Cricetulus griseus: one gene and its partners. The protein of the gene in region 6 interacts with the protein of the main gene of each other region in a pairwise test. Links are inferred from orthologs where the notes say so. Each region holds a gene or a part of one and is shown on either strand. Other genes may lie near its edges. The genes, in order: Chrd, Mapkbp1, Igfn1, Cntnap2, Tcea2, Meox2 and Oit3.

Region 1 (4,215 bases), on a different chromosome or scaffold from region 6:
AAGGAAAACCAGACAGATTGACTGGACTCAGATGCCTTTCTTCTACAAGGGGCACAGGGACCTGAACAACTAACCACACAGCTCTGTTTGTAAGCCTGCCCTTGGTTGCCCAATGGCCCTCTCCCGTTCCTACCACTATACATGTGACAAGAGAAATAACCAGGCCCATCTGTCCCCGTCTTAGGAGAGACAGCTGCTGAGCCTCCCCCACAAATAACTCTGCTGGCTCTTCTCTTTCTTGCCTTGGTCCTGGCTCTAGCTCCGGTGCTTTCTCCTCAGTGCCTGTCTCCCCACGGTCTCTGTCCTCAGGGATCTCCTGGCCTGACCTTGTGCTCTGCCCTTGTTCTTCCTCAGGGTTTCTCCTGTGCCTGCTCTGAAGATGGGCTGTCCACTAAGGAGTATGGCCCAGATCCCGGAATTCTCTAGTTCAATCAGAAGAGATGCCTCCTAAGATTAGGAAGCCGGGTGCTGGGATGGTTGTGAGAATGGTGGGGGTGGAGGAGATGGGGAGGCAGGACAAAGGAGAGGAAAAAGAGTGGTCCCTTGGATGAAGGAAAGGGTGGGAAAGCCAGGTGATGGTTGGATGGACTTGTGAACAGGTTACAAGGGGGAGGTTATTACTCCACTGGGTGCGGGGAGCATTTCTTGATTCTGGCTTGGTCCCTGTGCCTGGGAACTCCAGAAAGAGAAGAGACCCTAGAAGGGAAAGAGGAATACAGCCTGAGTGAAAGGAGGAGGGTGCCCTGGGTCTTAGACAGGGAAGATCGTTGTCCTTTTCAAAGACAAGTCCTCATCCTCCAGGGCCCATCCTGCCCATGAGTGGTACAGGCCGGAGGCCCAGCCTCTGCCCTTTCACTTAGCTTGAGGCTCCTGTCTCTCTGGATGGATACCACAGGGGTGGCCGCAAGGAGTGTGTGTGGGGGTGTCGAAGCCCGCCTCTCCTCCCCCCCTTTGCGCCCCCTGGTTCCTCCCTTCCCCCTGCCCACTCCGCTCCCCCCTCCTCCAGTCCCTCCCTCCTCCCCTGCCGGGTCCCAGCCTGTCCCCCTCCCCCACTCGCGATCCGGCCGCTGCTGCTGGGCCGGACCCCCCGGGCTCAGCCGGGCTCCTTGCGGAGCCGCCGCCGCGCCCCGTTTGCTGAGGAGGAGGCCCCGGGCCGGGACTCCTGGCGCGGGCATAAAACGGGCCGGAGCCAGCGCCTAGGGCACTACAGCGGCGTACGGCCCGGGTCAGCGCCCAGCCGCCCGAGCTCTCCCGCCCCGCCCGGCCGGGAGCGGACTCCGCGACTGCGAGACGAGCCCCTCGCCACTGCCCCCCTCCTGGCCCCGGCCCCCTCCCGCCGGCCCGCCTCCGGTCCGGCCCTACTCCCTCTCCTGCTCCCTCCTCCCGCCCGCCTCCCCAGCTGTCCGCTCCGCGTCATGCCGAGCCTCCCGGCCCCGCCGGCCCCGCGGCTGCTCCTCGGGCTGCTGCTCCTCGGCTCGCGGCCGGCCGGTGGCACTGGCCCCGAGTCCCCCGCGCTGCCCATCCGTCCTGAGAAGGAGCCGCTGCCTGTTCGGGGAGCGGCAGGTAGGTGGGCTCCAGGGGGGAGGCGCGGGCGGGGAGTCTGGCTCGGGGCAAGTCTGCACCCACCGGGACAGGGCCCCGGGCGCAGGTGGCTCGGCGCAGCGGGAGGGCGGGAGGGGTAAGCAGAGGCGGCGGGGCGCAACGGTGCCAAGGGACCCAGGGCCTGGCGGGCAGAGCTCGGAGCAGGCATTACGGCACGAGCAACCGGACAGCGGCCGCCAGCCAAGCCCGTCCCCACAGGCTGCTCCTTCGGCGGGAAGGTCTATGCCTTGGACGAGACGTGGCACCCGGACCTGGGGGAGCCTTTTGGGGTGATGCGCTGCGTGCTGTGCGCCTGTGAAGCGGTGAGTGGATACCGCAGCTGCCCGCCCTACCCTAGAGGGTAGCGGAACGCTGGCGTCCTAAGCCGTAGTAGCCTCGGAGATGCTCAGGGGAAGGCTGGTCCTCAAATCTGGGGAAACCCCTTTCAAGTCTGCGGTGTTGACAGTTATTGATCGCCCACTATGTGACTGGCTTTTAGCCAACTTCCCCCATCCCATTGCAACCTTGCTAGATAAATGGCATTAATTAGCCTTACTTTGCAGACTTAGAGAAGTTAAGAAACTTGTCCAGGGTCATGTAACTTGTAAATAGCGGAGCTGACTGATTCCAGCAGAGGACCTTACCCTGGCGTCTGATGGTTGCACGTTACACTCACTTAATTTCCCTGTGTTCTCTGCCATCAGCCTCAGTGGGCTCGCCGTGGGAGGGGCCCTGGCAGGGTCAGCTGCAAGAACATCAAACCCCAGTGCCCCACCCTGGCCTGCAGGCAGCCGCGCCAGCTGCCAGGACACTGCTGCCAGACCTGCCCGCAGGGTGAGGCCCACTGTCTCCCGTGTTAGGGAGGGTGGAAGGCTCAACACTAGGTTCTGTGCGGCTTGGATCGCTGAGGAGGACTGGCCCTCCTGGTACCCTGCTGAATCTAGTGGTCTTATTCCTTACCCCCCCCAACGCAGAGCGCAGCAATTTGGACCGACAGCCAGCTGGCCTAGTCTTCGAGTATCCAAGGGACCCAGAGCACCGCAGTTACAGCGATCGAGGGGATCCCGGCGCTGGCGAGCGGACACGTGCTGATGGCCACACGGGTAGGCTGGGGTGGAAGTGGGCCTGACGAAGTTTGGGGCCAGCGGCAAGGGTTGACAGTGCTTAGGCCATCCTCTCTTCTCACAGATTTTGTGGCGCTGCTGACAGGACCGAGGTCGCAGGCGGTAGCTCGCGCTCGAGTCTCTCTCCTGCGCTCAAGTCTTCGCTTCTCTATCTCCTACCAGCGGTGAGACCAGGGAAAGAGCAGCGCGGCTAGGAGTAGTGAATGGGGGCATGAAAGGGGGAAGACTGCGGGTTCTGGATCCAGTCTCACTGGACCTTTCTTCACAGGCTGGACCGCCCCAGCCGGGTTCGGTTCACAGATCCCACCGGCAACATCCTGTTTGAACACCCTGCTGCCCCCACCCAGGATGGCCTGGTGAGATGATGCCACTTACGTGTACTTATCCAAAATGGGCACTTGCTGAGAGCATGGTTGGCATTGCCTCCTTTGGTTCTCACAACAGCCCAGTGGGAGAAAGGCCCTGACATTATGATGCCCATTTTACAGAGGAGGGAACTGAGGCTCAGAATAGCAGAATGTGATTTGTTCAAGGTCATTTGGCTAGCAAGTGGTAAGCCAGGACTTGAACTCAAGGATCCTGGGTCCTTTTTAGGAGGGTCTGGGGTCTCCCTTCCATACTCCTCCCTCACCAGGACTGGGCCTCTTAGCTGGCTTGTCCTGCATAGTGACTGTAGACTTCCTTGTCTCTTTGCTGTAGGTTTGTGGGGTGTGGCGTGCAATGCCTCGGCTATCTCAGAGGCTCCTGAGGGCAGAACAGCTGCATGTAGCCCTGGTGACACCCACTCACCCTTCAGGAGAAGTCTGGGGGCCTCTCATTTGGCAAGGTGCTCTGGCTGCAGGTAGGAAGAGTGAAGAGTTCCCAGATAGAAAAGACTGAGCCTTCTCTATCCAGGGGTGGGTGGACTCACGAGAGGCTCCTCTGATGGCTGTCATGCCCTCCATTCCCCAGAGACCTTCAGTGCCACCCTTACTCTGGAAGGCCCACAGCATCGGGGTGTAGGGGGCATAGCCCTGCTCACCCTCAGTGACACAGAAGACTCCTTACATTTTTTGTTGCTCTTCCGGGGTCTGCTGGGACCCAGGAATGAAGGTAAGCAGGTGAGAAGGCGTCCGGTGAGAGTATAGGGAGGGAGCTCAACTTTCAGAAATGCTCACATGTGCAGCCCTTGCAGGTCCCGCTCAGGTTCCCCTGAGGCTTCAGATTCTCCACCAGGGACAGCCACTCCGAGAGCTCCAGGCCAACACCTCAGCTGAGGTAAGGGGAGGCCTGGGTCTTGCTGCTGCTTGCTCTGGCCTCTTGTTGTCCACCACATTCCGCTCTGTTCCCAGGAGCCAGGTTTTGCTGAGGTGCTGCCCAGCCTGACAGACCAAGAGATGGACTGGCTGGTGCTGGGGGAGCTGCAGATGGTCCTAGAGAGGGCAGGTGGGCCAGAGCTACGCATCAGCGGATACATTACCGCCAGGCGGAGCTGTGACGGTGAGGCAGGGTGGGGCTCGGCGCTGTGGGC
Region 2 (4,248 bases), on a different chromosome or scaffold from region 6:
GAAAAGAACCCAAAGATAAGAGAAGATATGTCTAATAGTACTGATATGAATCAGCAGAGGTGCCTGTTGTGGTGGTCCATGCCAGTTAGGATATGCCCATAAGGCAGAGGTAGGAGGATCAGGTGTTGGAGGGCAGCTTGAACATCTTTATGGCCAGCCAAGTGGCTTGGCAGGTAAAAGTGCTTGCCATTTTGACCTCCACAACACCACGGTACATGCGCACCTGCACCAACACATCACGATACAATAATGATAAATAAAAGAGAAAAAAAGGGCTGGGCGTTGGTGGCGCATGCCTTTAATCCCAGCACTTGGGAGGCAGAGGCAGGCGGATCTCTGTGAGTTCGAGGCCAGCCTGGTCTCCAGAGCGAGTGCCAGGATAGGCTCCAAAGCTACACAGAGAAACCCTGTCTCAAAAAAAAAAAAAAAAAAAAAAAAAAAATGGACAAGCAGAGTTGTATCTAAGAGTTTCTAAGTTGGAGGGCTCATTCTTTGCCTCTAGAGAATAGGACAATTGTTAGTAAGAGTGCTTGAAAGGGGCCGTAATTCCACCACCATAAAAACATGTGGCAAATTTTAATTCAATAGAATCCCTGCTAGAATATACAAGAAAGCTGTTCACCTTACCAAAGCCAATTACAGCTCTGTTAAGGAACTCGGTAAGTCCTCCAAGAACTCTGCCACATTGTACATTAAACTCTAAGTCTTTCCTCAACAGGTTTGCTCATCTCTAAAGAGTCACAGTCAAGGCAATAAAATGCTGCTGTCTCAAAGGACTCTGTCCTTAGCAATCCTGTACCACACAAAGCTATTGTGGTTACAGGCTACTAATAAGACACAAAACCTAATTTGATCCTGTGGGAATAATGCTCAAGATTCCCTCAAGGGATTAAATGAATGTATTCTTCTTTTGTATGCCCAAAATTGTGGGGACCAGCAAAGCTGAATAAAGCATAAGCTGGGCATGCCAGAATGGCAACACTCAGGACACTCTGGCAGGAATTTGTACAGTTTGAACCCAGATAGGACTATGTAACAAGGCTCTGTCTTGAAACAAAACAAAACCAAAAACCAATAAAAAACCCAACCCCAGACAAGTGTAAGAATGGAAGATGCTGGCATATGGTAACCAGGATAAGCAGTGTACAATCGCAAACTAGGAAAGATGTCTTTCTCAAACACATTTGGCTCCATGTTTTCATGAGAAACCAAGAAGCTCCTGTTAAATAAACCTAGGTCTCTTAAAGAGATAAAAATTTAGCCAGGCGGTGGTGGCACAGGCCTTTAATCCCAGCACTCAGGAGGGAGGCAAAGGCAGGCGGATCTCTGTGAGTTAGAGACCTGCCTGGTCTACAAGAGCTAGTTCCAGGACAGCTTCCAAAGCCATAGAGAAACCCTGTCTCAAACCCTCCCACCCCAAGATAAAAATTTATATTTATTTCTTTGTGGGTGTTCATGTGTGCATCCATGTGTGGGAGTCAGAGAACTACTCCCAAGAGTTGGTTTACTTTTTTCCATCTTGTAAGTCAAAGGACCATGCTTGTTGACAAGTGTCTTTACCAGTTGAGCCATCTTGTGGGTCAAAGGATCATGCTTATTGACAAGTGTCTTTACCAGTTGAGCCTAGCCCAATCGTCTTAGTCTTTTTTAGATAGGATAGAGTCTCACTATGTAGCCCTGGCTGGGCTGGAACTTGTTATATAGACCAGGCTGAACTTGCCTCTGACTCCCTAGTACTAGGATTACAGACATGCATCACCAAGCCCGTCATAACATTGTTTTGATGTCTCAAATGAAGTGTTTTAGTATGTTTCTTTTTGCAAGCATAGTATGGCATAACCCCAACTGTTACACTAATGCATCCACATTAGTCACAAATATGTGATCGCACTGTCCTCTTCCACGAAGAGAAACTGAGTCATAGCGCGTCAACTAGCTTCCCCAAGCACGCGGTTTGAACTGAGGTCCTATACACTTCTTCCCACGGCAGAGTTTCAGCAAGCACGCCCACGCCTACTGCTGTTCTTCCAACTTCAGATCAGGCAGTCATAGAGAAGCACATCTGATCTTTTAGAGCCAACAGAGGAATTTCATTATCTTCCCCCCCCCCCGCCCCAAGAAAGAGAAAGGTGGAAAGGGAACAGGTACAAGAGAGGGAAGAGTTGGAGAGGTGGCTCCCAGTAGGACTCACCTTGGAGCTGAGGTCTTCTCGCCGGTTTCCTGTTTTACTTCTGCGTAATTTGATGGATGGGGACCGCAGCAAGTTCTTGATGCGGCTGGTAATGGTTGACCCTTCCCCAGCCATCATAACGAGGAGCCCCTAAGGACAGTCCCTGGCCTAGACTTAGGACTTGTCTCAACCGTGGTACTGCCTTCTCGCTTAACAGGGCCTTCGGATATACACTTTCACTGGCCTGAGATGGCAGAAGCAATCTTGGCATCACAGTAGGTGTCTTCTGCCTGTCAGCCGGTCTTACTCTGGGCATTGCCCTGTCCTTTCTCACTCCTCATCCCCACCCTAGCCTGCTAGATTTCTTAGAAAGAGAGGACGACCCTCTAGAGTAAAGAAATGTCAGGCCCACGCCAGCGAGAGGCGTTTAACTGAAGAATGGGATGGGCTCTAGAAGGGCTTGGCGCCGGTTACAGCCCGTGTTCCCATGGTAACTGCGGTGTCCAAGGGAGGAGGCCGCCTAAGCCACCCGAACGGTCCGCAGGGGGCCGGGGCTCTATGCTGGCAGCCGGGGCTCGTGCTGACCGGATCTGATACAGGAGCCTCCCTCCCCCACCCTGGCCTTGGGAGCTCGTTTCCAGCTTCCCCCCACCCCGCCCGCTCCAAAAGCCCCTAATACTCGTCAGCGCCCCCGTTCGCTCGGGCCCAGCTCACAGCGCCCTCGGGGATCACGTTCGGCGGCTTCAGCCCCGCCGCAGCAGCCGCAGCAGCAGAAGCTATGGTGGCACCAGCGGCTCAAAACGCGAACTAGAGCCTGGGCCGAGCTGCGCTGGGAGGCGGGGCCTAGGCGAAGGGGGTGCGGTCTGCGGCAGATCGGTTCCTGACTGGAGGAGCGTTGCCTCTGGGGGCGGAGCCAAAGAATGAACCGTGGAAGCAGAGGGCTCGGGATTCTGCACGGTATAATTGTGGGTACCGCTCTTAAAGGAAGGTCAGCATAACATGGCTTTAGAATTGAGAGAACCAGGCCTTTTACGGTATTATCAAGCCTGGTCCCCCAGAGAACTTCCCAGATCAAGACGATAGCCACGCCCCCAAGCCTAAGGTTGGTATTTGGTAGGCCTGAGACCACGGCTGAAATTTAATTCCTAACTCATTAAAAAAAAAAAAAAAAAAAAAAAAAAGGTTGGGATGCAGCCAAAAGAACTCCTTTCCACTCCAAGTGCTGGGATTTAACACGGTTGGAATAGTTTGTGATTACGGCCAGCCTAACACAATGACTCACGTGGAGTAACGAAACACACACTTTTGAACTGAACCTGTTAAGGATGGAAGACCCAAGCCTCCAATGGAGCCTTAGGTAGGCTGCAAACAGAGAAAAGTAAATGAGTGCACCTTTATCATCCATCATTTCCTTAGCTGCCAACATCCTTACAGCATTTGATTCACAGCATTAACGGTATTTTGCCACTCCAAATCTTTGCTCAGCCTTGTCAAGATTTGCAAACACCCCCAGGGCTGACACCGATATCAAGCTTGCTGCTATCAGGTTTTTTTTTTCCTCCCTAGTTCATGGAGATAGGAGAGATATACATACTCATGCTTCACAGATATGACATGTCTGTTTATTTTTAGAAGTTCTAGAATTTCCTATCTAGTTACTACCTCAAGAAATTACCTGCGGGTGGGGGCCACTGGACAGATGAATCAGAGCACTGGCTTCTTTTCCAGAAGACTCAGGTTTAATTACCAGCCCCCTCAGTGGCATCTCACAACCATTCCAGGGGATTTGTCGCCCTCTCCTGGCCTCCATAGGCACCAGGCACATGGATGCACAGACACAAGAATAGGCAAAACACCCACCCATATACATTTTTTTAAAATGCCTTCTGAAAAGGATAGCTTAAGCCAAAGACCTGTATTGAAGTAGAACAGTACACTGACGTGTCTCTCCCATCTCAGACTTTGGGAATTCCTGAAGAAGATGGTGGGTTTGCAAGAGGGAAGGATCCCTAATATCAGTGTTTAGCGGTACTTGGACAAGCACTGTTCAAACAGGAAGGTTCCTGGGTACTATATAG
Region 3 (3,500 bases), about 110 Mb from region 6:
ATGTGCAGCTAACCTTGACAGCCAGAACACCACCCTGCAGTGTTACATTCAAATCACACACGTCATGCCTTCTGCTTGTTCCAGGGCCCCCATGGTAGGTCGAGCTACTGTTGTTCCCATTTAACAAATGAACAACAAAAAATCTGTGTTGTTGTTCCCAACCAAGAGTTACAATTCAGCATACAGACATAGAACTCCAGTCCCCAGACACAATGGAGCACAAAAGATTATTAACTAGGGGCTGGAGAGATGGCTCAGAGGTTAAGAGCACTGACTGTTCTTCCAGAGATCCTGAGTTCAATTCCCAGCAACCCCATGATGAGATCTGAAGACCTCTTCTGGTGTGCAGATATACATGGAAGCAGAATGTTGTATACATAATAAATAAAATCTTATAAAAAGATTATCAACTAAAATACCAGTTGTCAAGGGTTACAGGAGGATGGTTAGGGGTTGGCAAGTTGATGGGTGAGTAGAGGAGGTAACCAGGGACTCACATATAGCTGGGATACAATGCCAGTTCTAGGTAGGTTCTAAAGAAACACCTAAGTGAAAGAACTCTCAAGTCCCTGGCAGGAGGACTCCTCAGGGGAAGCTGACACATTCCTGAAATTTCCATGGTGCTTGTCAGGACCTCCAGGGCCTGTTCGGGATCTCCGGGTTACAGACACATCTAACACCAGCATCACCCTGAGCTGGATGAGGCCGGACACCCAAGATGATGATGAAGCCCAGGGGTTTATTGTGGAGTTGCGTGGCTCAGACAGCCTTCAGTGGAGCCCATGCCACACAGGCACTGTGCAGGGCACCACCTTCACAGCCAAGGGACTACGGCCCCAAGAAGGCTATTTTGTGCGGGTGACAGCAGTTAATGATGGGGGCCCTGGCGAGGCCACTTCCTTGGACTCAGTGGTCCATGCCATGCCTGCTACTGGTGAGTGTCACCTCCTTCCCCATCCTGAGTGCTAAAGATCCTTCCTGAGAAGCACTGTTATGCAGCCATCATCTGCCTTCTTAACCGAGGAATGGCATCCATCACTGAGCTAAGTGGACCCCTCTTAGGAATGCTTTCTCAAGATAGCTCCCTTCCTACATGGTTAATATTCTTGATCCCCAATTTACAGAGATGGAAACAAGGTCCAAGATGCTTTACCCGAGACATCACCATTGTTAGGATACAGAATTAGGATTTAAAACAAGTGACTCCAAGGCACAGGCACTGCTTAACTTAAGCCAGCACATGCCCAAGCTCCCTGTTATTGCGGGGTGGATTGTGTTTCCCTTTGGGCCTTAATTGCTAGAAGCAAATCCCCTGTCTTTTTGAGCTGTACCAACTCGCTCTAGTTGTCACAGTGGCAATAAGGAGACAATTACAATGAAAAGCACAGAGCTCCCGAGTCCAGAATCTTAGACTCTTGTTCTGGCTTTGTCCCTTACTTGATGCAACCAGGAAGGTCACTCTCTGACTGGGGGTTAATGGTGCTCTCACCTTCAAATAAAAACGTAGCTGTCCCCGGGATCCTTGCTCCAGACTAACCTTCACCTTCCCTGATAGTAGCCTTGTCTCTACTTCTGACCCTCTCAAAAGACTGTCCCTGTCAGCTCCTGGCCTTTCTCCCCAGTGTGCCCTTCCAAGTTTTCTCCATCAGACCATTACACTGGCTTAGCCTTCAATCTGCATGCAGGGTAACCTGAGCTAGAAGCCAACTGTGAAGAGAGGTGACAAGCCATTTTGTGTATTCTAGTTTGTCCCAAGTTCTTCATGGATTCCAGCACAAAGGATACAGTGATGATCAGGGTTGGAGACAGCATTCGAGTTCCTGTCTCCTTTGAAGTGAGTATACCTGGAAGAGTGTGTGGCAGGACATGGGGGCCCCAGAGCAACCAGGAAATTAGACAATCTCGGGGTATCCTTTCTTCCTCGTTCTTTTTTAGCCCTAGTCATAGACTTGGGCTTGTCTCAGAAATCAGCCCAGTGTGAAGTGGTAGGAAGGAAAATGGTTGTTGAAGCCACAGCTGGCATTTGGCTTTTTGAACTCCATTCTACTTTCCTGTACAGGGCACACACCCCTCTAGTGGTAGCTTCTAATACTGCACCTCCAAATTAGAGCACCCCCTCTCCTCCCCCATCGTTCATCTAAGTCTGGGGACTGAGGGAGCCCTTAGGATAGATAACCATTTTTGCCTTTAGGATATATTTTTGTGCAAGTGATACTAAGCCACTATCAACACCACCTGACTCCATGCATAGTAACTAAGGTAGTAGTTAAAAAAAATATGAACTGTCCCATGTCATCATCAGTCACTAGTTTGTCTCTGGACAATACCTAACCCTCTCTGTATTTAAATTTCCTCATCTCTCAGATGGTGTTGAGTGTTCCATCTCTCCCCTGAGCTGACCAAAAGGCTGAGAAAGTGATAGCAGTAACCTGGGCCTGTTCTCTGTGCTTTCCACGTGTGGTTAATGCCTGAACCCTCGGAACACTCCCATGGGTATAGTAGCATTCCCAAGTGCTCAAGACAGGGGTCCCACAGGCAGTTGGCAGCATTGTCATCCTCCACCTGGAGGGACTTAGATCCTAGACCTGACACTTAAGATCCTCTATGACGTCAGATATACAACCTGGAGAAGTTGGGCCATGCCACCCTGCACTTTGGCTCTTGAGACAAAGAGCTGACAGCTCTTTCTGTGAATGCACAGACCTCAAGGTAGAGGGGAAAGCAAGCCAGGTCCCCAAAGACAGAAAGAAAGCATAGACCATGTCCTGGTGAGGATTTCTCTAGGATGTCGTCTCATCATGCTGACCTTGGTGGTTGACTCTCCTACTCTCACTTTAAGCTGTCTCTCCGAATGTTCCCTGTCTTTCCGTTTTGTAACAATAAGTCTTTCTGCCAAGCTGCCTGAGCCCTGCTGCCACATGGGCGCTTTCTGCCAGGCTGCCTAAGTTCTACCTGCCGCCACGTTATGGTCCCAAGTAAGACACAGAGATTTATATTAGGTACAAATGCTGCTGCTTGGCCAATGACTAGGATTTCTCATCTGCTAGCTCAGTCTTAATTATCATAAATCTATATATTTTATAAGACTTATATGTTCTCACAATGCTTCTAATGCTCTCTAACCTCAAGGCCCACCATGCTGCCTCTGGTATAAGGTATTGTCCCTCTTAATGCTTTTGATCATGACCCTTGTGATGGGGAAGGTCTCTTTCCTAATTAAGCTGAAGGGAAATTTCATGTCAGCTCCTTTCCTAAACCTGCCACTCTCCTCTCTTTGACAGTTACAGTTCTAGGCTAGGCTGCATAATCTACTTCCTGCAGCTTTCTTCTATTGCAGAGATTTCCAAGTCATCTGCCTTGGGCACTGGGGAGGGAATACCCCTTCCAGATTAGTCTCTTTTCATTTGCACCCAGTACAAATGTGAATCAGAACCAGCTGTACCATCCCGGGAACATCTAACAGTGGCAGCACCCTCAGAGTGAAATCTAGATGTCTGCGT
Region 4 (3,500 bases), on a different chromosome or scaffold from region 6:
GTGTACCAGGGAACATTTGGGATAGCAAATGTGAAGTCTCCAAGCAGGAGGTGGCTTGCCACTGAAAGAAGAGGACAGGAGTCATTGCATCTAGTCAGTGGTAAAGAAGGAGGTGAGTGAGCCACTGTAGGCTCCAAAGGACTTTAAACATCATTCCAAGTGATTGGAAGCAGATGCCAGAGCACACTCCGACTTCTGACTTCGCCATGAACATTCACCTGGGTGGAGCTGGGTCCCCAGTGACTCTAGTGCAATCAATGGTTATTCATTATCTCACTAATCATATATATATATATATATATATATATATATATATATATATATATTCAGATATATTACATATATGAGGTTAAAATGAAAACATTTGGAATGTTGTTACATTTCTTACTTCTCTTAAGGATACTACAATACCTCTGAGAAAATTCACATATATACAATTATACTTGTCAGTGGGTCAGATGTATAAGGATTTTGGGTATATGAAGTTTGTTTTAAAAATCTAATTTCTCAATGATATAACATGAAAAATTCTATATTGATTGCCAAAATTTATACATAGCCTTCCTTCTTTTCTTCTTGTTTTACTGGATCCATATGTGTTTTGGCTTATATGGACATGTAGTTACATAGACATATTTACATGTACTTTTCACTAGAGTCTATGTATTGGAGATAGCAGGTAGTTTATGTTGTTTTTCTTTTTATTTTCTTTATGTGATTGTGTGAGGTGATGAGGAAGAACAGACTGTCATGGAGATATGAAAGAGGCTATAAAGCTAATTTTTTTCTAATCTTCATTCTATCACAATTTTTTATTTTGTTTTGATAGTCGTTAAGAAAATAAAATGCAATCAACACTGAAAGGGTAAAATCTAATGTGAAGTTCCACAGCATTTGCTCCAAATGACTATTCTAACTGTAGAGACATTCATGGCGTTGTAGATCCTTTGGGTTAGGTTAATTTTAGTGTGATTATTCTAATTGTTTACAATAATTTTAATAATAAAAATTGTGACTAAAAATTCTCTAGCAGCTCCAGCCTCACAGTGAAATTTTTTGTGGGGATACATTTCCTCTACTGTAGACAGAAGATGCTAAAAGAGCAAGATGGTCAGTGGGGTAGCTGAGCAGCTTTATGACAGCAGCTGCTGCCGACTCCTTGTATTAGGTCTGCTGCCCTGGAGGTAAGAATCAGGAGTCAGCAATGTCCGGTGTGACAGGTTAGCACTGGAGGTACTCTCCTGCAGGGAGGAGAACAAACAGAGGAGGCCTGAACACTGGGAAGATTTATAAATTAGGAGATTAAGAAATATACATAAAAAGAAACATTTAAGAAGAAATGACATTTAAAAATTTTGGTGCCATTGAAAAGCCATGTGGACAAAGTTCTACAGATAGCTTCAAGGCAGAAAATCGTAAATTTTTAGATGGTACTCTTTTCCATGTTGACTGTTATTCTTGTTCTCCATTGTGATCAGTTATTTCTTTACCTCATTAGTAAGAACATTTTACACAAGACCTTCTATCTCAAATATTTAGGTACCTAAGACAGTATTATCATCTGCAGGCTCAATGTGATACATCTAACCTCCAGATCTTATTCATCCTGTGCAACTAAAATTACACATGTTGATTAGTGATTTCAACTCTCTGGCTTTGGGTCCTCTTAGTAAATTTCTTTCTAATCTCACGTCTTGAAATTTCCTTGTTTCCTGTCTTCTCTCTGTGATTCGCAAATACCCTGATCATATCTAGGTAATGCCACGTACAAAAGCTAGTAATGAAATAACTGGATTCCGGATTCTCCCTGTGATCCTTCAAGACTGAAATGGAGTTGTGGCCCTCTTGGGGCAATGCTGTTGCTTCTGATTATTACATCAGGATGATTAAAACTGCTTCTGTAGTTTATCACAATGGGTACAACTGAGATACGTAAATTGTGATCATTGGTAAAGGGTATGTTTTGGTGGGTTTTAAAGTCTGTACTATATTAAGTAGTTATTTTAGTGTGTGTGTGTGTGTGTGTGTGTGTGTGTGTGTGTGTACATACACATTTGCCTGCCATGAGCATCAGATTTCCTGGACCTGTAGCTAGAGATGGTTGTGACTTACCCCATGTAAATGTTAGACATTGAAACCAGGTCCCCTGCAGGATCAGCAAGAGGTTTTAACAACTAATCCATGTTTCCCTCCCATTGGTAGTTATGTTAATAAACACAAACTAACCATTTTATAAAGAGATTTAGCAAATTTAGCTTTCTCTGTCTCTTCTTTTTTTCCAGAAAAATGTGACGAGCCGCTCATCTCTGGTCTTCCCCACGTGTCCTTCAGCAGCTCTTCTTCCCTGTCCAGCAGCTATTCCCCTGGCTACGCCAAGATCAACAAACGAGGAGGTGAGCAGCATCTGATTCCTTTGTGGTTAGCCACATGCTATGCTTGTATTTGATGACTGACATATGCATCAGCACAACCAGTATTACCAATCATGTAAGCTCCTGATTGCCAGTCAATCTAGATGACATACAAATACCATAACTTAAAAAAATGACTCCCAATTAAGTATCTATGTATATAGGTAAAACTACATTGGAAATTCCCAGATTTTCTATGATATTTATACACATGGTTTCTGCTGCAAAAGTAGGATAAAAAAGTATAATAATTTCCCAAGTGTTTAGAAGGAATATTTGTTTTTAGAAGTGTATAAAAATTAGTTGTGTCTTTCTATTTATAGACTCTGGAAATACTGGTGAATTCACCTTGGTTCCAGTATCCCTGAGTATTCCTGTCCTATTCTGGATCACAGGTAGCAGTTGGCTTCAGGCTTATGCCTACTATGAGGCTTAGTCTTGGTCTTCGGAATGCACTCCATCACTTCGTTTTCTCAGCAGGCATCCCATGAGTTCCTGCAGCTGCAACATCCTCAGTTTTCCATCAACTCAGCTTCACTCAAGCAGCTACTTGCAATATCTTCTTATGGCTTCCTTGCAGAGACTCCAACCCTGACACACCTTGCTTGCTCTATGGAATTTTCTGGAATATTGTTACAAGTTTCCAATCCTTTCACATTGTACACCCACGGTATCAGCATTCCAATGATGATCCTGGCAAGCTAAGTGCAAACTGAAAATGTCCTTGGCACCCTACCACCATACTTTGGTGGCTTCTGTGCTTTCACTGGTGAAGCTAGGAAATGACTTCCATACGTAATAATCTCTAAGTAGCAAATCCCATCCAGACTCTCCCCTTTCAAATAAATCTGCATTTTCACAAGATGGATCCTTGAGTTGGTTGAATCTTCCCTCATGCCACTGAAGACTGAGGATTCTCCTTGATGAAACTGATCTCTCTAACAACTACCATGGCCTTTTCCACACTTTACTTTTCTACATCTTTAAGCTTGCTCATTTTCCTTTCCTCTCTTAAGTGCATGATTTTCAGTGTTTCTCCTCTGTCTTCCCGCAGAGCTCAGAATAGTGAAAAGTAACTGTTCTACAGGC
Region 5 (2,399 bases), on a different chromosome or scaffold from region 6:
TTCCTAGAGGCTAGGAGGGACAAAGCTGATGATGTGGCCTCCTCAGAGTAGCTAGGCACAATGTCATTTTCATCTTAGGAGTCCAATAAAGCAAAGCACCCACTACTTTGATCCTCCAAGTTGCTGGGAGTTTCAGCAATTTGAAGCTAGAATTGATCTCAGTCCAGAGACCATCCTCCCCCATGTGGTGAGCAGAGTGAAGGACTGAGCAAAATATCCTGAAAGGACACCAGGTCCTTGGACTGCCATGTCTAGTGAGGAGGGGTGAACACTGGGCAAGGTCCTGTTCTAACAAGTCTCATATGCCACTGCCCATACAGCCAGCATGGTAGGACACATATAAGCAGTATATCCTAGAATCACATGTCAAGTGATCTCTCTGGAAAACAGACATGCTCTTGCCTATATTGCCCTACCACAACTTAGTTCAAGTGTTGTCTGAGCCCAGGGAGGAGAGGTGTTTAAAGGAATGGAAGAACAAGACCCAACTGAAGCCTGTGTATAGCTCACCAGGAGCAGAGCCAGAGAAAGGCAAAAGAAAACATTTAATGAGAGACAAAGGGCAAAAAGGTGCATGGCAGGCAGGCAGACTGGGACAGAGCATGCCACCTTCTGGGGATCTCCAGAGAAGCTGTGTCCACCAAGAACATTGCAGGAGGGGGCAATGCTAGCCATGGCCAGGACAACACATCAGTACAAGGGATCAGCAGAACTGCAGGAAGGCAGAGAATATCTGACCAAGGCCCCACATGACCCCTAGGGCAGAAATGGGACAGGCATGGGGCTCCATCCCAGAGACTCCCAGGAGGCTAGCTGGGTACAGTGGGCCCTGGTTCCTACTTAAGGTCCAATATGTGCTGAGACAGGACTGGAGGTGAGCATTCTGGGCCCACCCACCTACCTTCCAGCGGTTCCCACACTCGTTGCAGACAACATAAGTGGTCATGGGCTCATCGGAGCTGCGGGTCTGCACCTGTAGGGTGGGTGGCTGAATCCCTGGTTTTGCTGCCCTGATCTGGACAGTCCTGGTTTCATACCCCCTGATCTCTACTGATGACTTGATTTGAAACTTCCCAGTGACCTCTCAACCTTCTAGAACTGGGCCTGTGGAGGAGGTGGATCACCACAAGAGACTTTTGTGGGCCTGAACAACTGGGATCAGTAGAGTAGAATGTTGGATAAGTGCAAGATTCCCAACAAGAGGGTCTATATAGTGACCCTCTATAGAGTCAGCAGAGATGCCAGTGGCCCTGGCCATCTAGGAGACCCAAGGAAAAAACCTTACTTCACAGAGCTAGGGCCAGTCCTTACAGGTAGTGAGGACTGAGTGGCCCTGCCCCTCATGCCCTATTATAGATGATGACAGCTTCCACAAGCCCTGGAACAGTCTACCAGAGAGACCATCTTAATCCACTCCCCTCTTGGAGTCTACATGGTCTCCCCAGAATACTTCAGCCTCTACCTCCACAGCAGGGTCTGAAGGTAACTACAGACACTAACAAACAATACTACACTCCTGTCTCTCCATGCTGGTCAGGGCCAAGCCACCTAGCCCTGGCACAGGTCCCCAGACCAGCAGAAGTAGGGACATAGGTGGTATCCAAGAAGAGGATGGGTATACCCTGAGGTCCCAGCCAAGGAAGATAGAGTGGACCCCAACCTGCGTGTAGGTGCAGTTCTTCTTCTTGCACTTGCTGCAGGTGAACAGGTCAGTCTGTGTGCCACCTGTGCGGGCCATCTGATGCTCACGGATGGCCTCCTTGGTCATGGCCTTGCGGATCTCCTTCAGCTCATCACTGGCCATCTCCTGATAAAGGGGCCAAGTGTTCAGCCTGCAACTCTGCAGAAACAGCCTGCCCCAGCCCTTCCCAGTGGGGCTCACCTCTGATGTCATCACAGCTATCTGCTGGGGTGTAATGGCACCACACAGCACGTTTCGCCGCAGGCCAGGGTTCTTGGCATCTTTCAGGTTGGAGATCCGGCTCCGCACGCGGTTCTTGTACTTCATATCTGTGTTTCCCACATCCAGGAAGATGCGTAAGGGTATTTAAGGACCCATCTGAGGTTTCTGAGCTCCATCCCCTCCTTGGAGTCACATGAGAAATGTTCTTCCCAGCAACATGGAGATGAGTTTACCCACCCAAGCCCTTTGGAGGAACTGAGGGGCCATCATATTGTGCTTTCTCTAAACCCATTCCTGTTTGAGGCCCAGATCTATCAAGTAGTCACAGCCCCTTACCCATCTATGGCCCAGGAAAGGTCAGGGGATCACCCCAAGAGGGCACTGGATAACCTACCAGTGTTATCTAACAGCTACTGGAGAAGCACAACTCTGGCCTACAGACTCTACCAGAAGCCTTTAACCCTGTATACACTGTGTAAAGGATATACTCCTCGAT
Region 6 (4,139 bases):
TGAACAGTCCTAGCAGAGAGAACTGGAGAGTGTTCAGTGTGGTGTCTGCTTACAACAGACAAGCGGTGAGAAACAGAAAGGGTGAAAAGAGCACCTCAGACAGAAAAAGACAATGTTTGTCCGGAAGGATTAGAGGGGGCTGTCGATTGGCTCCTAAAGAGTTAAACTGGGAGCACATTTCATTTGACATTGCTTCAGATTATCACTGACCTAGGAAAACTTTCGGTGAGCTAATGGTTAGGAAATTGAGCGAGCTGGACTAGTAAAGAGAGGTGGGAGGAGGGTCTGAAAAAGGAGGAAAGAGACACAAGTTGGAGCAGCACTTGTGTGATGCCAGGGCATCAGAAATTGAGTCCATCTCTGCTTCAAGCTTTCCATCCCTCACTCAACCAGGTACCTTTCTTTTCCGCACTTAGAACAGCTTTATGCTATCATTGGGGCACAGCCCTGAAACTTCCAACCTGGCATCAGTTTTATTTTATTTTATTTTATTTTATTTTATCTTTAACAACCTATCCTCAGACAACTGAAAGGGGAAAACCATGTTGCGCTCCCGGGCGCGGGAACTGCGAGTATCGGAGTTTGAAAAGCTAGACTGCTCTAGCCTTTTCCCTTCTCTTGAATTCTCATAAGTTCTCCTGGTCCGCAAGGTCAGGGAGCAGTTCCGGAGCTCCTGCAGGTGACTCCCACCCCTACCCCCACCAAGAGCTGAAAGAGACTCGGGACGGGACACTTGGTGCTGGCTTAGCGAGACTGAGAGTGGGTGCGCGCCTGGCCATTGGGAGCCTATGGGACAGATCGAGGTGGCCCTGCTTATTAAGGCTCTGGACTCTCCACTGGCTGTCGTGGAAGCTCCCAGGGCCGGGCGGGCGTGGAGCAGCCGCTCCTGTCCTGCCAGCAGTTGGGAACTGGAAATGAGAGAGCATGGTGGCGCTGAGTGAGCGGGAGTTTTGGAGAGAGTTTGCATGTGGTCAGCTCTGGGCTCCTAAGCCAGCCCCCAGCTCACATTACACTCTATTTATAACCTCTCTGAGCCATTTCCCCCCCGTGAAAGCAGTTCTCTGGGACCACCTTCTTTTGGCTTCCACCTCTCCCACATTTGACATCTGAGCAGCTGCGAGGGAAGCTCCTCCAGGTCCCAGTGTTTATATGTGCAGGAGACTGGCCGCTAAGGCTCTGGACTGGGATTAGCCAGCTCTGCTCAAAGGCGCGACTCTTAGGGAGTGTGTGAGTGTGGGGGGAAAAAAGAGTTCTAGGATTTCCAGTGAAAAGTCACAGAGCTTGGTGGCCTTTGGGACCATCGTGAAGTCTTCTGCCTGGAAGTCCAGACTTGCATGCCATGGAACACCCCCTCTTTGGCTGCCTGCGCAGCCCGCACGCCACAGCACAAGGCTTGCACCCTTTCTCGCAGTCTTCTCTGGCCCTCCATGGAAGATCTGACCACATGTCCTACCCCGAACTCTCCACATCTTCCTCGTCTTGCATAATCGCGGGATACCCCAACGAGGAGAGCATGTTTGCCAGCCAGCATCACAGGGGGCACCACCACCACCACCATCACCACCATCACCACCACCAGCAGCAGCAGCACCAGGCTCTGCAGAGCAACTGGCACCTCCCGCAGATGTCCTCCCCGCCTAGCGCGGCTCGGCACAGCCTGTGCCTGCAGCCCGACTCGGGAGGGCCTCCGGAGCTGGGGAACAGCCCTCCGGTCCTGTGTTCCAACTCATCCAGTCTGGGTTCCAGCACCCCGACCGGGGCCGCGTGCGCACCAGGGGACTATGGCCGCCAAGCGCTGTCACCCGCGGATGTAGAAAAGAGAAGTGGCAGCAAGAGGAAAAGCGACAGCTCAGGTGAGTGCGGGCAGAGCACCTCTAAGGAGAGTGTTCCCTGGGCTGGGAAGGGGCAGGGATTTGCGAGAAGGTTCTCACAGACAAACTAAGGAATACCTAGCTCTTCCAGTCTCAGTGGCCTGGCCGAATTCGTCCTTGCAGCTTCGGCCCTGTAATTTGGGAGCACGTGTTTCGCTGAGGTTAATATATCTACGTCCAGCCCCTTCAAAGCCCTACAAGACCATAAACTAGTTTTCCAGCGGCGGTGAAAAAAGAGCGAGTGACAGTATGCGAAATCGGTTAAGGAGCATGGCGCTCCATCCACGAGTTGGGAGGGGTGTGAGCCTTGGGATGTTGCATCGGCTGGGCGTTCATGCCTGTGTGCATGCATGCGCTTCTTGGTTTTTCCCTTACAATTTCCCAATTCTGAACAGCTCGAGTTTTCCCATCCTTAACTGGATTTCTAGACTATTGCTCAATATCTTGAACTTTAACTGGGATTTGACAAAATACTCGAAAGAAAAGTTTTATTTTTTTCTTTTTTTAACGTTTCGCTTTCAGAGTTCCGTAAATAGCATTCTACTTAAAATAGTAATAATTTTAAAAAGCATTTAACTTATTTGCCGAAAAAGGCACTATCTAGAAATCTAGAAGTATTCAAGAAATACATCTAAAAATCGTGAATAAATAAATGGATGAGGATTTGAAGAAAGGTCATTCTTGATTAGACTCAGGTGAGGCTATCCTATGGGAAAAAAACAAACAAAAACAAAACAAACAAAAAAATCCCTGAACTTCGAAAGTGGAAAGTAAAAGCCTTCCTTGTTTGAGTAGAGTTTTGAGATGCTCCGGAGAGCACAAGAGCAGCTCGGACAGTGGTGGGAGAAGATGCAGCAGAGTGAACAGCGAAAGTGTGGATTACTTGAGCAGCTAAAGCAAAGGTTTCTCCCCAGTGGTTTCCAGGGCCTGAAAGTTCAGTAGCAAGTGCATTGTGGCAGTTCAGAGAAACTGAGTTTCTAGACAGCACATAACGCCCTTAGCTATAGTTCTCATTATTAAGATGTTTCTCTTTTTCTTCTCCTTCTTCATCCCCTCCTCCTCCTCCTTTTTAATTGCATCTTGCTCTGAAGGAACATGGCAACCTGGGTACATACTTTGGAAGATGTCACTTAACTAAAAAAAAAAAAAGTTTGCATCTATTTAATCTTTTGTGTTAGTCTATGGAGATTTAGGAAATGTGAATCTGGGCATTGGAAATAATGGAAAAGAATGTAGCATGTTAGGCAATTTAGTCCAGGTGTTCTGCAGTGTATGGCAGTAACTGCTGTGTATTTTAAATCATGTTGAAAAATGACAGAAACTTTTCTTGGCCTCCTTGTGGGGTGACCCTTACCAACCTGATGGTTGAACTTTTATTTTCCTAGGTCGGGGATGACTTTTTAATGCTCCACAATGATTAGCTGTGTCTAAGCAATTTACCAGCACTGTCATTGATTTGCAGTGGTTATCTTTAACTACATAGGAAATTCTAAGCTATTGAAAAGATACCAGTGAAAACGTTAGAATGCACTGGGGTTCCCCAGGCTGGGCATTTATGAACTGGAGTGCTTGGATGGCCTCAGCAGGTTGGTAGCTACCACAGCAAGAGCCAGAAGCACTTTTTCTTTCTGCAAGGGGAAACCATGGCCAGCTTCTTAGCTGAATCAATGCCCTAAAGATTATTTATGCACTCGAAGGAGTTTTTGTTGGGCCACAGTTATTTTTAGTTGCAGAAATGGAGAGTAGGACTAAAAAATTTACATCCTTAAGTTATTTTCATAAAAACCGACTTAAAATTGACTAACAGTCGTTTCCATCACATTTACCGATGGAAAATAACCACACAGCAAAGGGAAGCTTGTTTTCATGTTGTGAATCTCATTTTAGAACATAGAAACAAGCAAACAGAATAGAAATTTGTGTCAACCGGGGGTGTAGTAACGCTTGACAAGAACGGGAAGTATGATCATTAGCAAGGATACTATCATGGGGACCAACGTAGAAAGAATGTTTCCATTGATAGGCCATCACAGGCAAGCATCAGTTGTCTTGGTACACTTTGAAAATAAAATCTATATGTTCAATCTCTGAGTTAACATCGATTAGATCATAGGTAAGTTTAACTCCAAGCCATCTATCGCCTTTTTCAGTGAACATTCAACTGAAGATCAAGTCATCTGATACTCTTGTGTAAACATTTTGACTTACTAGAGGATAAAGTAACATAGAAAATAGTTATAATACTGTTCTTTTATCAACGCATAAGCC
Region 7 (3,500 bases), on a different chromosome or scaffold from region 6:
TGTGGGACCCACGCACCCGTCTGGCTCAATGGCAGCCACCCCCTAGAAAGTGATGGCATTGTGCAACGCCAGGCCTGTGCCAGCTTCAAAGGGAACTGCTGTCTGTGGAACACCACGGTGGAAGTCAAGGCCTGCCCTGGAGGCTACTATGTTTATCGGCTGGCCAAGCCCAGCGTCTGCTTCCACGTCTACTGTGGCCGTAAGTACCTTCCCTGCTTTCTTCCTTCCCCAACAAGGCCACAGATAGAGTTAAAGAGAAATGCACCATATGAATCCCAGTCATTGTAACCCAGATTTATTTCATGTTTATTCATTCAAACATTATAAAGTTAGAAGTGATGGATCTCCAACTATCTGAGTACAGAAGAGCCCTCTGTGACCTACCTGTTGACACATGATCAGGTGGACAGATAGATGCCCAGACATCCACATGGTGCTCACAGTCATTGCTTTTTCAGAAATAACATACAATGGGGAGAGGCAATGTGACATCAATAATACCTTTAAGTGAATTTTTATGTCACTATCTCCATCAAAATCTGGAGGCTTTGTTAACATCCTTGATGGAAGAGCCCAAACCCAAGACCTCACAGAAGCCAGTGTCCCCAGCTCCTGCGAACGTTTTAGAGAGTCCACAGTGGAGCATGACCTCGCCCTTAGTCCCTAGCTCATATGCGCTCATGTTTTTAATTTGTGGAAGTCCTCTGGCCACCAGTGGGCCCACTCCCACTCTAGCTAGGAGTCGGTTATCTGAATGGACAAAAGCTGCCCTGTGCTGCTCATCTCCCTCCACTGGGTGATGCAGCCTGACCCATAAGAAATGTCGGAATGGTGTTCTGAGAACTTGGAGCCTGTGGCTGCATTCATGTGCCACTCAAAAGAGAGGGTCACCTGAGCCTCCCTACTCACAGAAGGTAATTATCCTTCCATAGATTTTTATGACATCTGTGATGAGGATTGCCATGGCAGCTGTGCGGATACTCCTGAGTGTACATGCTCTCCAGGAACCTCGATAGGCCCAGACGGACAGACATGCTTTGGTAAGAGCTACTCACAAAGTGGAAATGAGCCCTCAGGACGAAGAAACAAAGCAAGGCCCTGCTGCCATCCCACTTAGTCTCTGAGCATTTGCAATTGAGCTAGTCATTGTTAGACACAACTAAAGTCATTACAATCTCATGGTGTGACCAGGGGCAGTCTGAAACCTCAGTGTCGGCTCAAGTGACCACTGGTCCTTGTAGCTATAGAGCCACTGAAAAATGGCCAGCTTGCCTGAGGACCTAAATCTTAATTAAACTAAATTTTAATATAAAAACTGGCTTTTGATTGGCAAATAAAAAAATGCCTGGGATAACCCAAATGACTATATTTTGTCTGTTTTTACTAACTGTAAATACAGATTAAATGTTTCTGCTGAATATTGGCAGCCATTAAGGTGTGGTGCATTCCTGTAACTTTGGTGCTGAGGAGGCTGAGGCAGGAAAATGGTGAGTTCAAGACAAACCTGAGCTACATAGAAAAGACTGTCTAAATAAATAAATAAATAAATAAATAAATAAAAATAAAAAATAAAAGAAAGCCTGGAAAATTTGACATCCAAATTGAAATGACATCCAAAGTCATTTCAAAGTAGATTCCAAAAACATGTATTATTTTCTTACGCATATTTCCTTCAGGTAGATATAAAAATGCATATATATATATTATATATATATATATATATATAATACATATATATATATTTTCGAGACAAGCTTTCTTTGTGTAGCCTTGGCTGTCCTGGAACTCACTCTGTAGACCAGGCTATGAACTTCAGAGAAATGATGTAGGCAGATTTCTGTGTGTATGTACACAGGTCAATTTTAGTTTATATTTAGTTTTCATGTAAATGAAGCAATTTTAAACTTTTGTTATCACTTATTTACTGTGTATATGCTAGGTAAAGGACAACTTGCAAGAATTGGTTCTCTCTTTCCACCAAGATGGTCAGGCTTGGCAGCAAGCGCTTTTACCCACTGAAACAGCCCAACAATTTTATTTATTTGTTTGTTTGTTTGTTTTTTCGAGACAGGGTTTCTCTGTAGCTTTGGAGCCTGTCCTGGAACTAGCTCTTATAGACCAGGCTGGTCTCAGACTCACAGAGATCCTCCTGCCTCTGCCTCCTGAGTGCTGGGACTAAAGGTGTGTGCCACCATGGCCCGGCCAATTTGAATTATTTTTTAATTAGATTTTTCAGGCAGAAGGGAAGGGAGTAAGAAAATAGCAATGCAGATACACATGTACCCAGATGTAACTTTCCTTTTTTTTTTTTAAGTGAAAATAGAATTTTGATGTTCAAACGAGGCCATCTTGCTGGACTCGATCACCCCTAGGGCTGGCTGCTGCTCGAACGTCAGCCTGCTTCCTTCCCACCCTGTCACTAGGTTTTATTATTGCTGTGTGGATGCACCACACTATATCATACAGAATTAGCCTACATGTTAACATACAAATCACACCTCACGCCGTGTGTGACCTTTTCTCTAGGGTGTAAACATGCAGGTGGAATTGCTGGTGGTCAAGATTCCTACGATGGCTAAAAGTAATAGTCCCATGTTAATTTCTTCCTCACATTAACGAAAGAAAAAGAAGACGCAGTCCAAGGGTAACAGCCCAGGCTTGCCATGGAGGCCTGAAGGAAGTGCTAGCCTGGGTGTGGCCACACCTGCTGTCAGGGAGCTGCTGGCCTCCTGCCCTTCCTGGTGTAGGTAGTGCAGTGAAGTTATGATCCTACTCTAGGTAGGTATGGCGGCACACAGTGGAATCCCAGCACTTTTGGAAAAGGAAGATCAGGAGTTCAAGGCCAGCCTCTTCTGCATAGTGCACTCTAGGCCATCCCGGACTATATGAGTCTCTCATCTCATCTACTGTAGCTTTTTACTTCTGCAAGCTGTAAATGTTGGCTTCTTTGCAGTTGTGATTTATTTAGTTCCCTTTCTTTCCTCTTTCCTTCCTTCCTTCCTTTCTTCCTTCCTTCCTTTCTTCCTTCCTTCCTTTCTTCCTTCCTTCCTTTCTTTCTTTCTTTTTTCTAGTTTAAAAAGATGCTTGTATGGATTTCTAGATTGTTCTTTTACTACCAGTTCAAGGCCTCCCCATTATCTTGCCTGTCCTCTGTCATTGTGAACTGTCTGCAGTGTTTTATGTGAAACCCTCATCTAGCATTAGGGGTTTCCTGTGGCTTTCCACCCTTCCTTCCAGCTCCAAGGATGCTCTATTCTAGAGCAGTTTCCCGAATGTGTCTGAAGAAGTTCAGGTCAATTGCGTATCAGTTTCTCGGATGAAGATCTACGTCCCCAGTGAATGGGAAGTGTAAATCCACGCTTCAGACTGGCCCAGGGTCTCCACTGTTTGCACCTGTGTATCTCTCTCCTTTGGGCCTCCAGCTGGGAGCCTCCTAATTGCTACTTGTGGCAGAATTCTACTCTCAATTTTATCAAAATATGTATTAGTCCCTCTTGTTA

Evidence for each region.
Region 1: the proteins of Meox2 (region 6) and Chrd interact in binary tests that used the Homo sapiens proteins (3 or more experiments, as listed by UniProt). The two-hybrid records come from large-scale screens. The link is inferred for Cricetulus griseus from reciprocal best matches to the Homo sapiens genes MEOX2 and CHRD.
Region 2: the proteins of Meox2 (region 6) and Mapkbp1 interact in binary tests that used the Homo sapiens proteins (3 or more experiments, as listed by UniProt). The two-hybrid records come from large-scale screens. The link is inferred for Cricetulus griseus from reciprocal best matches to the Homo sapiens genes MEOX2 and MAPKBP1.
Region 3: the proteins of Meox2 (region 6) and Igfn1 interact in binary tests that used the Homo sapiens proteins (3 or more experiments, as listed by UniProt). The two-hybrid records come from large-scale screens. The link is inferred for Cricetulus griseus from reciprocal best matches to the Homo sapiens genes MEOX2 and IGFN1.
Region 4: the proteins of Meox2 (region 6) and Cntnap2 interact in binary tests that used the Homo sapiens proteins (3 or more experiments, as listed by UniProt). The link is inferred for Cricetulus griseus from reciprocal best matches to the Homo sapiens genes MEOX2 and CNTNAP2.
Region 5: the proteins of Meox2 (region 6) and Tcea2 interact in binary tests that used the Homo sapiens proteins (3 or more experiments, as listed by UniProt). The two-hybrid records come from large-scale screens. The link is inferred for Cricetulus griseus from reciprocal best matches to the Homo sapiens genes MEOX2 and TCEA2.
Region 7: the proteins of Meox2 (region 6) and Oit3 interact in binary tests that used the Homo sapiens proteins (3 or more experiments, as listed by UniProt). The two-hybrid records come from large-scale screens. The link is inferred for Cricetulus griseus from reciprocal best matches to the Homo sapiens genes MEOX2 and OIT3.

The regions. Positions count from the first base shown.
Region 1 is NC_048597.1:67,916,608-67,920,822, reverse strand, and holds the start of Chrd (chordin), read left to right. Parts: upstream 1-1,415; coding exon 1,416-1,563; intron 1,564-1,734; coding exon 1,735-1,904; intron 1,905-2,285; coding exon 2,286-2,415; intron 2,416-2,549; coding exon of another isoform or gene 2,550-2,555; coding exon 2,556-2,684; intron 2,685-2,769; coding exon 2,770-2,869; intron 2,870-2,973; coding exon 2,974-3,061; intron 3,062-3,404; coding exon 3,405-3,546; intron 3,547-3,656; coding exon 3,657-3,797; intron 3,798-3,879; coding exon 3,880-3,962; intron 3,963-4,036; coding exon 4,037-4,184; intron 4,185-4,215. UniProt on the Homo sapiens protein: Dorsalizing factor. Key developmental protein that dorsalizes early vertebrate embryonic tissues by binding to ventralizing TGF-beta family bone morphogenetic proteins (BMPs) and sequestering them in latent complexes.
Region 2 is NC_048599.1:58,519,701-58,523,948, forward strand, and holds the start of Mapkbp1 (mitogen-activated protein kinase-binding protein 1), read right to left. Parts: upstream 2,801-4,248; 5' UTR 2,309-2,800; coding exon 2,192-2,308; intron 1-2,191. UniProt on the Homo sapiens protein: Negative regulator of NOD2 function. It down-regulates NOD2-induced processes such as activation of NF-kappa-B signaling, IL8 secretion and antibacterial response. Involved in JNK signaling pathway.
Region 3 is NC_048598.1:53,315,175-53,318,674, forward strand, and holds part of Igfn1 (immunoglobulin-like and fibronectin type III domain-containing protein 1), read left to right. Parts: intron 1-631; coding exon 632-934; intron 935-1,745; coding exon 1,746-1,834; intron 1,835-3,500.
Region 4 is NW_023276806.1:224,133,265-224,136,764, reverse strand, and holds part of Cntnap2 (contactin-associated protein-like 2), read left to right. Parts: intron 1-2,282; coding exon 2,283-2,393; intron 2,394-3,500. UniProt on the Homo sapiens protein: Required for gap junction formation. Required, with CNTNAP1, for radial and longitudinal organization of myelinated axons.
Region 5 is NC_048599.1:221,915-224,313, forward strand, and holds the end of Tcea2 (transcription elongation factor A protein 2), read right to left. Parts: coding exon 2,390-2,399; intron 2,038-2,389; coding exon 1,883-2,037; intron 1,808-1,882; coding exon 1,661-1,807; intron 974-1,660; coding exon 704-973; coding exon of another isoform or gene 691-703; 3' UTR 501-690; downstream 1-500. UniProt on the Homo sapiens protein: Necessary for efficient RNA polymerase II transcription elongation past template-encoded arresting sites.
Region 6 is NC_048598.1:164,594,808-164,598,946, reverse strand, and holds the start of Meox2 (homeobox protein MOX-2), read left to right. Parts: upstream 1-1,339; coding exon 1,340-1,853; intron 1,854-4,139. UniProt on the Homo sapiens protein: Mesodermal transcription factor that plays a key role in somitogenesis and somitogenesis and limb muscle differentiation. Required during limb development for normal appendicular muscle formation and for the normal regulation of myogenic genes.
Region 7 is NW_023276807.1:1,838,580-1,842,079, forward strand, and holds part of Oit3 (oncoprotein-induced transcript 3 protein), read left to right. Parts: coding exon 1-199; intron 200-932; coding exon 933-1,040; intron 1,041-3,500.